Linked DNA regions of Sus scrofa. The protein of the gene in region 1 interacts with the protein of each later gene in a pairwise test. Links are inferred from orthologs where the notes say so. Each region holds a gene or a part of one and is shown on either strand. Other genes may lie near its edges.

Region 1 (4,506 bases):
AGGTGAGGGCAAAAGGGCATCTTCAAACAACAAAAATTGAAGACTTTATCATACATTGCAGATAGGCTTGTACAGTGGCTATTCACATATGAATTTGGTCCAACCTACACTACATTTTCCTTTAATAGCAAAATCACTAATTTGGATTTTAAAAATAATTTCAGATGATAGAGAATATAATCATAAACTCATTCTTTAATTTGCATACTTAGTAACTGTAGAGATTGTTGTAACTTGTTTGGAGCTGTATGCAAACTGTTTTGCAACTACTACAAGTTAATGAGACGGAGTTCCCATTGTGGCTCAGCAGTAATGAAACCAACTAGTATCCATGAAAACTCAGGTTCGATCCTTGATCAGTGGGTTAACGATCTGGTGGTGCGATGAGCTGTGGTGTAGGTCACAGACGTGGCTGGGACCCAGAGTTGCTGTCGCATAGGCCAGCAGCTACAGCTCTGATTCGACCCCTAGCCTGGGAACTTCCACATGCCATGGTGCCGCCCTAAAAAGCAAAACAAGACAGATCACAGGACTGAAACAATTTATTAAAATTTGCTTGAGGAATAATCCACGAATGAGAGTCTGGAAAAGACAGGACAGCTATAGAGGACTAAACTTCTCTTCAGGATGGTGACTAGGAATAAGGTAGGTCGTCTAAATAAAAACCAAAGAAAACTGTCTAACAAGAAAAAAACAAGTTTTTGGTCCTTCTGGAAAAGTCAAGCCTTGTCTGGCAGTAGTCTCTACTATCATAATCTGAAAATCTAAAGACCCTCAACGGTAAAAGAAGACTGCAAAAGGCGACGCAGCATAAAGCCTATGCTTAGTGCTAATTAAGTCCAATTACTGTTGTATTCGTATTTTCGTTTCTCGATGCATCCCTTCCTTAAGAATTCTCATCCATCCACCAGTAACCACCTGGGACTCGAAATCCCGCAGGTGGGAGATGATGGGCCCGGGAGGCGGCAACTTTCATGTTTGGGCCTCAGCAGCCGCATCCCTGAAAAGCAGAAATGGATTCGACAGCTTGCCGGAGGACTGGTGCAGGCTGTAAGAGATAGGATACAGGTAGGAGGCGGGCAAACAGCGTGTCACAAGGCTCCTCCCTCCTGCAAAGGACGCTAACGCCGCACGTCCAGAACAGCACTAAAAAGACACCGCCCCCTGGCCCGGACTCATTCTAGGACCTGCCTCCAAAAAGCATCCTCCCGGCAGGAAGAGTCTCACCCCAGACTTCACTCGGAGGAGCCGAACTACTCACTGTCGATGTCCTCGATGAGGCTAGCGGTGCCGGGCATATAGTTCATTTTGAGTTGAAATGAGGCGCAACGTATAGCGGTGGTGGGCCAACTCGTCCAACACTTCCTTCTTCCTACCGCAGTCGCCGCCTCGGCGGCACCGGGACAAGAACCCGGACCCAGAGTAGCACCTCCGGCCCGGCTTTCAGCCGCCGGGGCCTGCCGGAAACGTCGCCATATTACTCCCACCCACTTCCGGCATCACGTGCCGGTGCTCAGGAAGAGGCGGGACCGTAGTGAGGTCCCGAGGCACCCTTTCCACGTCCTTGACAAGAGGGGAAGAGAAACCTAGATTGGATACGTAGTGGGGAAATGCGTTCTCCCTTTTAAGGTACACGGTGGCGCCCCTTGCTGTCCTGCTTCCTAGACCCCAGAGTCACCGACCTCAGTCCTTCAACTCTCAAGAATCTGAGGCCGAGGGGGCGGGACCCGGCCTGGGATTGGCTGTTGCTGGCCGACCCCCTTCCCTGCGGTCCACTTGCGTTCTCCGGCTGGCGTCTGCGCAATGGACCGGCCGTGGGGGGCGGGAAGCACTTGGGGGCAGTGGAGCCCATGTCGGCCTTGAGGCGCTCGGGCTACGGCCCCGGTGACGGTCCGTCTTATGGCCGCTACTACGGGCCTGGGGGTGGAGATGTGCCCGTGCACCCCCCTCCGCCCATATATCCTCCCCGCCCCGAACCTCCCCAGCCTCCTGTTTCTTGGCGGGTACGCGGGGGCGGCCAGGCTGAGACCACCTGGCCGGGAGAAGGGGGAGGAGGAGATGGCTACTATCCCTCTGGAGGCGTCTGGTCGGAGCCAGGTCGAGCTGGAGGAAGCCACCAGGTAAGCTTTGCGCTGTCTGTCCCGGGGTGGGGTAGGGGACGGCAATAGGGGAGTCTTTGGAGGTGAGGGTTATTGGGTTTGATACACCTCCAAGAGTTCGTAATGAATTGGGTTTCATGTGTTTTCCTTATGGGGGGGTGGAGAGACAGAAACTAGGATCGTAGGTGGGGGCTATGCTTGTTTTCTCTTTGCCTCTTTTTTACTTCAACCATAGTAAATGTCTTAGCATGAAAAAGGGGAAAAAGATCCTGCGCTGACCTGCTGAGCTGAGTAGCGGGCTGCGAATCTCGCCTGGGAACGGTGTTGGGCTGGAGGGATCCGGGTCTGCTTTTCGAGTCCTGACAATTTATCCTGCGTGGCTCATCAGGTCGGCCCTCCCCAAGAAGGGAGGTGGCTGCAGCACCCTCCGTCCCTTAGCAACCCCTCCCCCTGGGAAGGAACGTGAAGGAAGGGGAGGGATCTGGGCGTTTAGCTCTTTGCCCTTTTAACGCTTTGCCCGACATTGAATCACGCATAATCAATGTTGGAAAGCAGCTTTCCGTGGATTGTTTTATTTCATCTTAAGGGTGACTGCCGCGTAAATGTCATCACATCTTCTCTGTTTTACGATGAAAGAACCGTTGACCGTGAAGGGTTAACTCACTCAGTATATTTGAACCTATAATGTCTTGTTCCTTGTAGTCGTGCGGAAATACAGTTGTTTTGTTATGCAGTATGCTTCGCAGAGAATTAATCGTTATCTGGTGGGGGCACTCCTATCCTTTTCTTCAGGAAATGTAACATCCTCATTGGTTGAAAATGTAATAATGAAATTCCCATACATTGCTGGTGGGAACATAAAATGGTTCAGTGCTTTGGAAAACAGTTTGGAAGTCCCTCAAAACGTTAAGCATACTGTTGGGATCTTACTCAGCAAGTCTGCTCCTTGTTATACACCCAAGAGAACTAAAAACATGTCCACGTATAAACTTGTACACGTGAGATTCATAGTAGCATTATTCATAATAGCCAAAAGGGAAAATATTCCAAATGCCCATCAACTGATGGATAGATAAAATCTGACATATTCATACAATGAATGGGAAGAAATGGGAAGAAATGAAGTACCTTCTACAACATGGATGAACCTTGAAAATATGCTACATGAACGAAGACAAACATTAAACATTGTGTGATTCCATTTATATGAAATATCCAGAATGGGCAAGTCTGTACAAATATATGTCATTGTCAGGGGTTGGAGGCCTGGAGACATTGGGGAAGATAGTTAAAGGGTATGGGGTTTCTTTTGGGGATGATGAAAATATTTTGGAATTAGATTGTAAATGAAGATTGCACAGCTCTGAATATTAAAAAAAAACATTGAATTGTACACTTTAAAAGGCTGGGTTTGATGTCATGTTATTTCTTTTAAAAAGTTGTATCATAAAAAAAAACGTAGTGAGAGGTTAATTACAAAGAAAGGCCCATAATTTCTCTATCTGAATCTAGAATAAGCAGCCTGAGGGAACTTCAGTCCCGACAGAGGAGAGTGAGGAAATGCTTGGCTAATAGGTATGCAGACTAGACCTAGGCTCACTTGTGGGGGAGGAGGAGAGAACCACTAAGCTGATGATTCCACCTGGGCTTGCTGTGTAGTCAAAACAAAGGTTTTTTTTGGGTTAAGGTTAGAGAAGTTAAGATCTTAGTACTGGGCAGGGAGTTTAAAGGGAGAACAGGTGTGCACACAGGCTAGGTAATGCTGGAGCGGTCAGGAATACGGCCGGAATGTGATTGGGCATTTGTCAACCGTTGCAGGAGTTTATCTTTCAGGTTGATGTTTCTGAAACTTGAAAAGTATAGGATGATGATTTCTTTCTTTGTTTTTCTCAAATGGCTGCACTTGCAGCATATGGAAGTTCCCAGGCTAGAGGTCAAAATTGAGCTTCAGCTGCCAGTCTACACCACAGCCACAGCAACATCAGATCCTTAACTCATTGAGCAAGGCTAGGGATCAAACCTGCATCCTCATAGATACTAGTCAGGTTCTTAACACTCTGAGCCCGGAAGACATCTTACTCTTCAAAAAGTGTAGTCCATGTACCAGAAGCTTCAGTGTTGATCTGAGGCAGTTAGAAATGCAGAATCTCTCCTGCTCCATACTTCCTGCTGCTCCAGTTTAATAAGATCCTCAGGTGATTCATATGCACGTTTGTGGCTGAGAAGCATTGCTTCACAGAATTGGATATATTGAGATGATATTGCAGTGAATAACTGCAAAGACTTGACTCTATATTAATGTATTTAAATATGGCAGGAGTGAAAAAGAGAAAATCTCTGTTTTCTTTCTCTTACATTGTTAGCTATACTTGCAGCACTGTAGTTTGATTCTTGAACCAGCAGTATG
Region 2 (4,391 bases), on another chromosome or scaffold:
CTGGCTTCTTCACCCACTGAGCGAGGCCAGGCATTGAACCTGAATCCTCATGGGTACTAGTCAGGTTTATTACCACTGAGCCACAATGGGAACTCCTAACTGATAATTATATTTGTACATAAATCTTGGTCTGAATCTTTAAGGTGGGAGTTTCTAGAAATGTAACACATTATTTTCTGTAAAGGTCAGTACCCTTTCCACCTCCCAGCCACACTTCCTTCAAGGGTTTGTCTTGCTGCAGGTCACCGGCATTGGGGTTGCTCCTCAGATAAAAAAAAGTTGACCCGATCCATGGGCTCTTCCTTGTTTTCATCCGCATTTAAAGAGAATTACTGGAGTTCCCCGGTGCAGCAGGTTAAGGATCTGATGTTTTCACTTCTGTAGCTCAGGTGCAGCTGTGGCTGGGGTTTGATCCCCGGCCCAGGAACTTCCACCTGCCAGCGGTTGTGGCAGAAAAAAAAAGTTACCAGCTAGGTTGAACACTTAAAAGGATGTCTCCTATGCTGAGTGTTTACCACATAATGTACTCTGGACCTGAATTCTCTTTCCTGAAATGCACACCCTGCTTCCTCCTCCAGGGCCAGCAGAGCTGGAGCCCTGTTTGTGAGGCTTTGCGGCCTCCTGCCTCCCTCAGTTTCCACCCTCTGCATCCCACCCCCTCCACCCCCGCGGTGTTGGTGACAGGTGTGTCTCCCTTGCCTGCGAGCCTCTTTCTTGGATCCTTTTTGGTTCTATTGATACAAAATTCACATATTTTTCAATTCTCTCATTGAAAGTATACAGCTGAAAATTTTTAGTATATTTGCGGGAGGGGGGGTTAACCATTATCGTAGTCTAATTTTAGGACATGTTCGTAACTCCTAAACGACATCCAGGAGCAGTCAGGCTCCCTTTTCCCCCACCTTTCCCACTCCCAGCCCTAAGCAATTGGAGCCGTTCTCTCCCGTCTCAGCACCCAGCCCGGGGGGTCAGAGTCGTCAACGAGTGAAGGCGAGTGTAGCAGCCTGGGTGCGTTTCCTCTCCTCCCGCTTGCTCCATCTTCTCCCCCAGATCCGCGTCGCGTAGGGCGCTGCCGACTCGTGTAGAGCGCGCGGGGCAGCCGTGGTGGGGTGAAGGCGGCAGCGGGGCGGGGGGCCGAGCAGGTGCGGCGTGGGCCGTGAACGTGGATGCCTGCGGGCCGGTGCGTGTGGGGGCCACCGGCCGAGCCGGCGGGCTTGGGGCGTGGCGGAGCCCGGGGTGCGCGCACCCCTCCAGCGAGCGCCAGGTGCTGCAAGGCTCGCGGTGCCACCCTCTCCGCGCTGGGCGCCGGATGGGGGCGTGGTGCGAGGGCGTGGCGTGGCGGGAGGGCGTGGCTGTCCGGGCGGGGGGCGCGGGTGGGCTCCGCGCGGGGGGAGATCCGGAGGGGCGGGGGCGGGCCCGCGTGGCGCATGCGCGCTGCATTGTTTTGACTGAAAATGCCGTCGGTTTCGAAAGCGGCGGCGGCGGCGCTGAGCGGGTCCCCCCCGCAGACCGAGAAGCCGACCCACTACAGGTCAGTGCCCCAGCCGGCCGCCGCGGAGGCGGGGGCGAGGCGGGGGGGACAGCTCCGCGCGCCCCCGGCCCGCGCGCCCGCGCCCCCGCACCCCTGGGCCTGGGAGCCGCCGCCGGGTGCGGCCTGGGGCCTCGCGCCGCCCCCCGCCTCGCTCTCCCCGCCTCTCTGGTCTCACCTGCGGCCCCTTGGCCCGCCAGCCTCTCATGCTCCGCGCTGCGCCTGGGCTCTAGGCGGGTGGACTGCCATCCTACTCGGCTGCTGCCACATTTGGACAGGAGGCGGCGCCCAGGGTCTAGGGTGGCAGCTGGGCTTGGGGGCGGGGAACTGGGTCGGGGGTCTAGACGTCTGGGTTCGGGTAGGAGAAGAGCGCCTGGGGTCGTGGTCGGGGACCGCCGAGAATGCGCCTGTGGTCGGAAGTGGGGGACCCCGACTGGAGTTGGGGAGGAGGGCAGCCTCCGCCTGGGGTCGGAAATAGTACCGGGGCTTGGGGCAGCGGCTCTCCTAGAATCCCCGTATCGCACCTGAAGTTGGGGGCCGCGTTTGTGGTCTGGATGGGGGGCTGCGCATGGGGTCTGGGGGGTCGCACCTGCGGTCCGGGAAACTCTCCTGGGATGTGTGTGTGTGTGGGGGGGGGTGGCCGCCTGGAATCGTCTGGAGTGAGTGTAATGCCTGAGCTGCGCCTGGAGCCAGGAGTCCGTGTCTGGGTTCTGTGGGGTCTCACCTGAGGTCAGGGACCGTGCCTGGGATTGGCGAACCATGTCTGGGATCTGAGGAACGCGCCTGGGTTCAGGGGGCGGGGGGGAGGGGGAGGCGGAAGATCGCACCTGAGGTCGGAATCACACCTGGGCAGCTGCGCCCGGGGTCGGGGGCCGTGCTTAGGATGGAGGATGGGGCTGGGCACCTAGGGTCGGGGATGGGACATCTTGCCTGGGATCCGAGGAACGAGCCTGGCCGGTGGGGGTGGGGGTGGGGGGTGGGGAGGAGGGCGGCAGCGCGAGGGGTCGCGCCTGGGGTCCGGGCCCGCGGGCGCGCGGCGTCCGATCGCTGCCCACGAGTTCCCGGGCCGCCCGCCGGCGGCGGCGGCGGCGGAAGCGACCCGAACGCTGTTTGTCTTTTTAGGTATCTAAAGGAGTTTAGGACAGAGCAGTGCTCCCTGTTTGTGCAGCACAAGTGCGCCCAGCACAGGCCATTTACCTGTTTCCATTGGCATTTCCTAAATCAGCGTCGGCGCAGACCGCTCCGCAGGCGCGACGGCACCTTCAACTACAGCCCGGACGTGTACTGCTCCAAGTACGACGAGGCCAGCGGCGTGTGCCCTGACGGCGACGCGTGAGTGTGCGCGCGCGTAAGCTTGGAGGGCAGCGCCGGCTGCCCACACCTGGGCGGGCGGCAGGCTTGGGCTTTTCAGCACCTGGCACCTGCAGGGCCCTGTCGTCCCTGTGAGTTTTTCCGAGAACCACTGGTCTTGGGGGGCGCGGGGGGTGGGGGGACACATATCCCTGGTTCTCGGCCACTGCAGGAAGGACTGCCAGCGGATGCTGGATCAACCTGGCACGGTGCGAAACGATTCTGCCCCACCTTCTCTGCTTTTCTTGCATTAGAACCAACCCTTAGGAGATACACCTTCTGGGTTTAGGACCATTTTGTAGGCATCACCTGTTTTTTGGAGAGCGCCTGTGGGAATGTTTGCTCACATTATGCAAATACTTCTGGAAAGTTTCTTTTCTTACTGTTGATATGTTTAATTTTTAAGAAAAAAAGCGATAGGAAAGTTATTTACAGGCTATCATTTGTATCACCCTTTTAAAGTTTATGAAATGAAGGTTTTGTGGAGTTCCTGTCGTGGCTCAGTGGTTAACGAATCCGACTAGGAACCAAGAGGTTGTGGATTCCATCCCTGGCCTTTCCCAGTGGGTTAAGGATCCGGCGTTGCCATGAGCTGTGGTGTAGGTCGCAGACGCTGCCCGGATCCCACGTTGCTGTGGCTCTGGTGTAGGCCAGCGGCCACAGCTCCGATTCAACCCCTAGCCTGGGAACCTCCACGTGCCACAGGAGCGGCCCAAGAAATGGCAAAAAAAAAAAAAAAAAGAAAGAAAGAAAGAAAGAAATCAAGGTTTTGTTTTGGTTGATTTTTTTTTTTAGCAAGTTTCCTGATGGTGTGAGGAACAGATGTCTTCATTTTGAAATATGTGGACGGGGAAAACAGGGGAAGCGCCAGGCGGATGGTATGTTCCTATAACCAGCAGAAATTGGTGGCAGGAACTGCTTTTTTCCAGTGGGCCCTTTGAGATGGGGAGGGCCCATTCCTTCCCACCTGGAGGTGAGGTGGCATCGGCTGTGCCCCAGGGCCCTCTGGATAGAGCGACTCATTCAGTTTCTGCTCCGTTCTGGGTCTGATGGGGGCTGCGGTGCTTCTGGTCTTCAAACCCTGATCCTCTGAGGGGAGGCGGTTCTTCAGGTGTGGCCCCTTGTGAGCCCAGCTTTCGCACGGCAGCACGGGGAGCCCCCTGTGAGTCTGTTCTTCGTTTTTGGAAATGCTTAAGCTAGGGAGTAAGCTTTTGATCTCCAGTGACCATCTTCTAAGCATTAGACACTTCCTGAAGGGTTTTTAGTTGAACACCAGAAAGTTACAGGTGTTGTGAAGGCAGCCTGGAGCCTGCAGCAATATTGTAGCCAGGTCTGCTTAGGTTAAGATGATGTGATGGTTTTGTGAAGTTTCGAAGTGGCATTGTTTGCAGTTCCTGTTGGGGCTCAGTGGTAACAAACCAAGCTAGTATCCATGAGGACACGGATTCAATCCCTGGGCCTGCTCCGTAGGTTAAGGATCCGGCATTGCTGTGGCTGTGGTGTAGGCTGGTGG

What was found.
Region 2: the proteins of BAG4 (region 1) and UNKL interact in binary tests that used the Homo sapiens proteins (3 or more experiments, as listed by UniProt). The link is inferred for Sus scrofa from reciprocal best matches to the Homo sapiens genes BAG4 and UNKL.

What each region holds. Positions count from the first base shown.
Region 1 is NC_010457.5:48,345,850-48,350,355, reverse strand, and holds the start of BAG4 (BAG family molecular chaperone regulator 4), read left to right. Parts: upstream 1-1,545; 5' UTR 1,546-1,850; coding exon 1,851-2,120; intron 2,121-4,506. Other genes in the region: U6 snRNA-associated Sm-like protein LSm1, read right to left, coding at 1,262-1,307. UniProt on the Homo sapiens protein: Inhibits the chaperone activity of HSP70/HSC70 by promoting substrate release. Prevents constitutive TNFRSF1A signaling. Negative regulator of PRKN translocation to damaged mitochondria.
Region 2 is NC_010445.4:40,443,601-40,447,991, forward strand, and holds the start of UNKL (putative E3 ubiquitin-protein ligase UNKL), read left to right. Parts: upstream 1-1,396; 5' UTR 1,397-1,454; coding exon 1,455-1,531; intron 1,532-2,650; coding exon 2,651-2,860; coding exon of another isoform or gene 2,861-2,876; intron 2,877-2,907; exon of another isoform or gene 2,908-2,970; intron 2,971-3,673; exon of another isoform or gene 3,674-3,718; coding exon of another isoform or gene 3,719-3,756; intron 3,757-4,391. UniProt on the Homo sapiens protein: May participate in a protein complex showing an E3 ligase activity regulated by RAC1. Ubiquitination is directed towards itself and possibly other substrates, such as SMARCD2/BAF60b. Intrinsic E3 ligase activity has not been proven.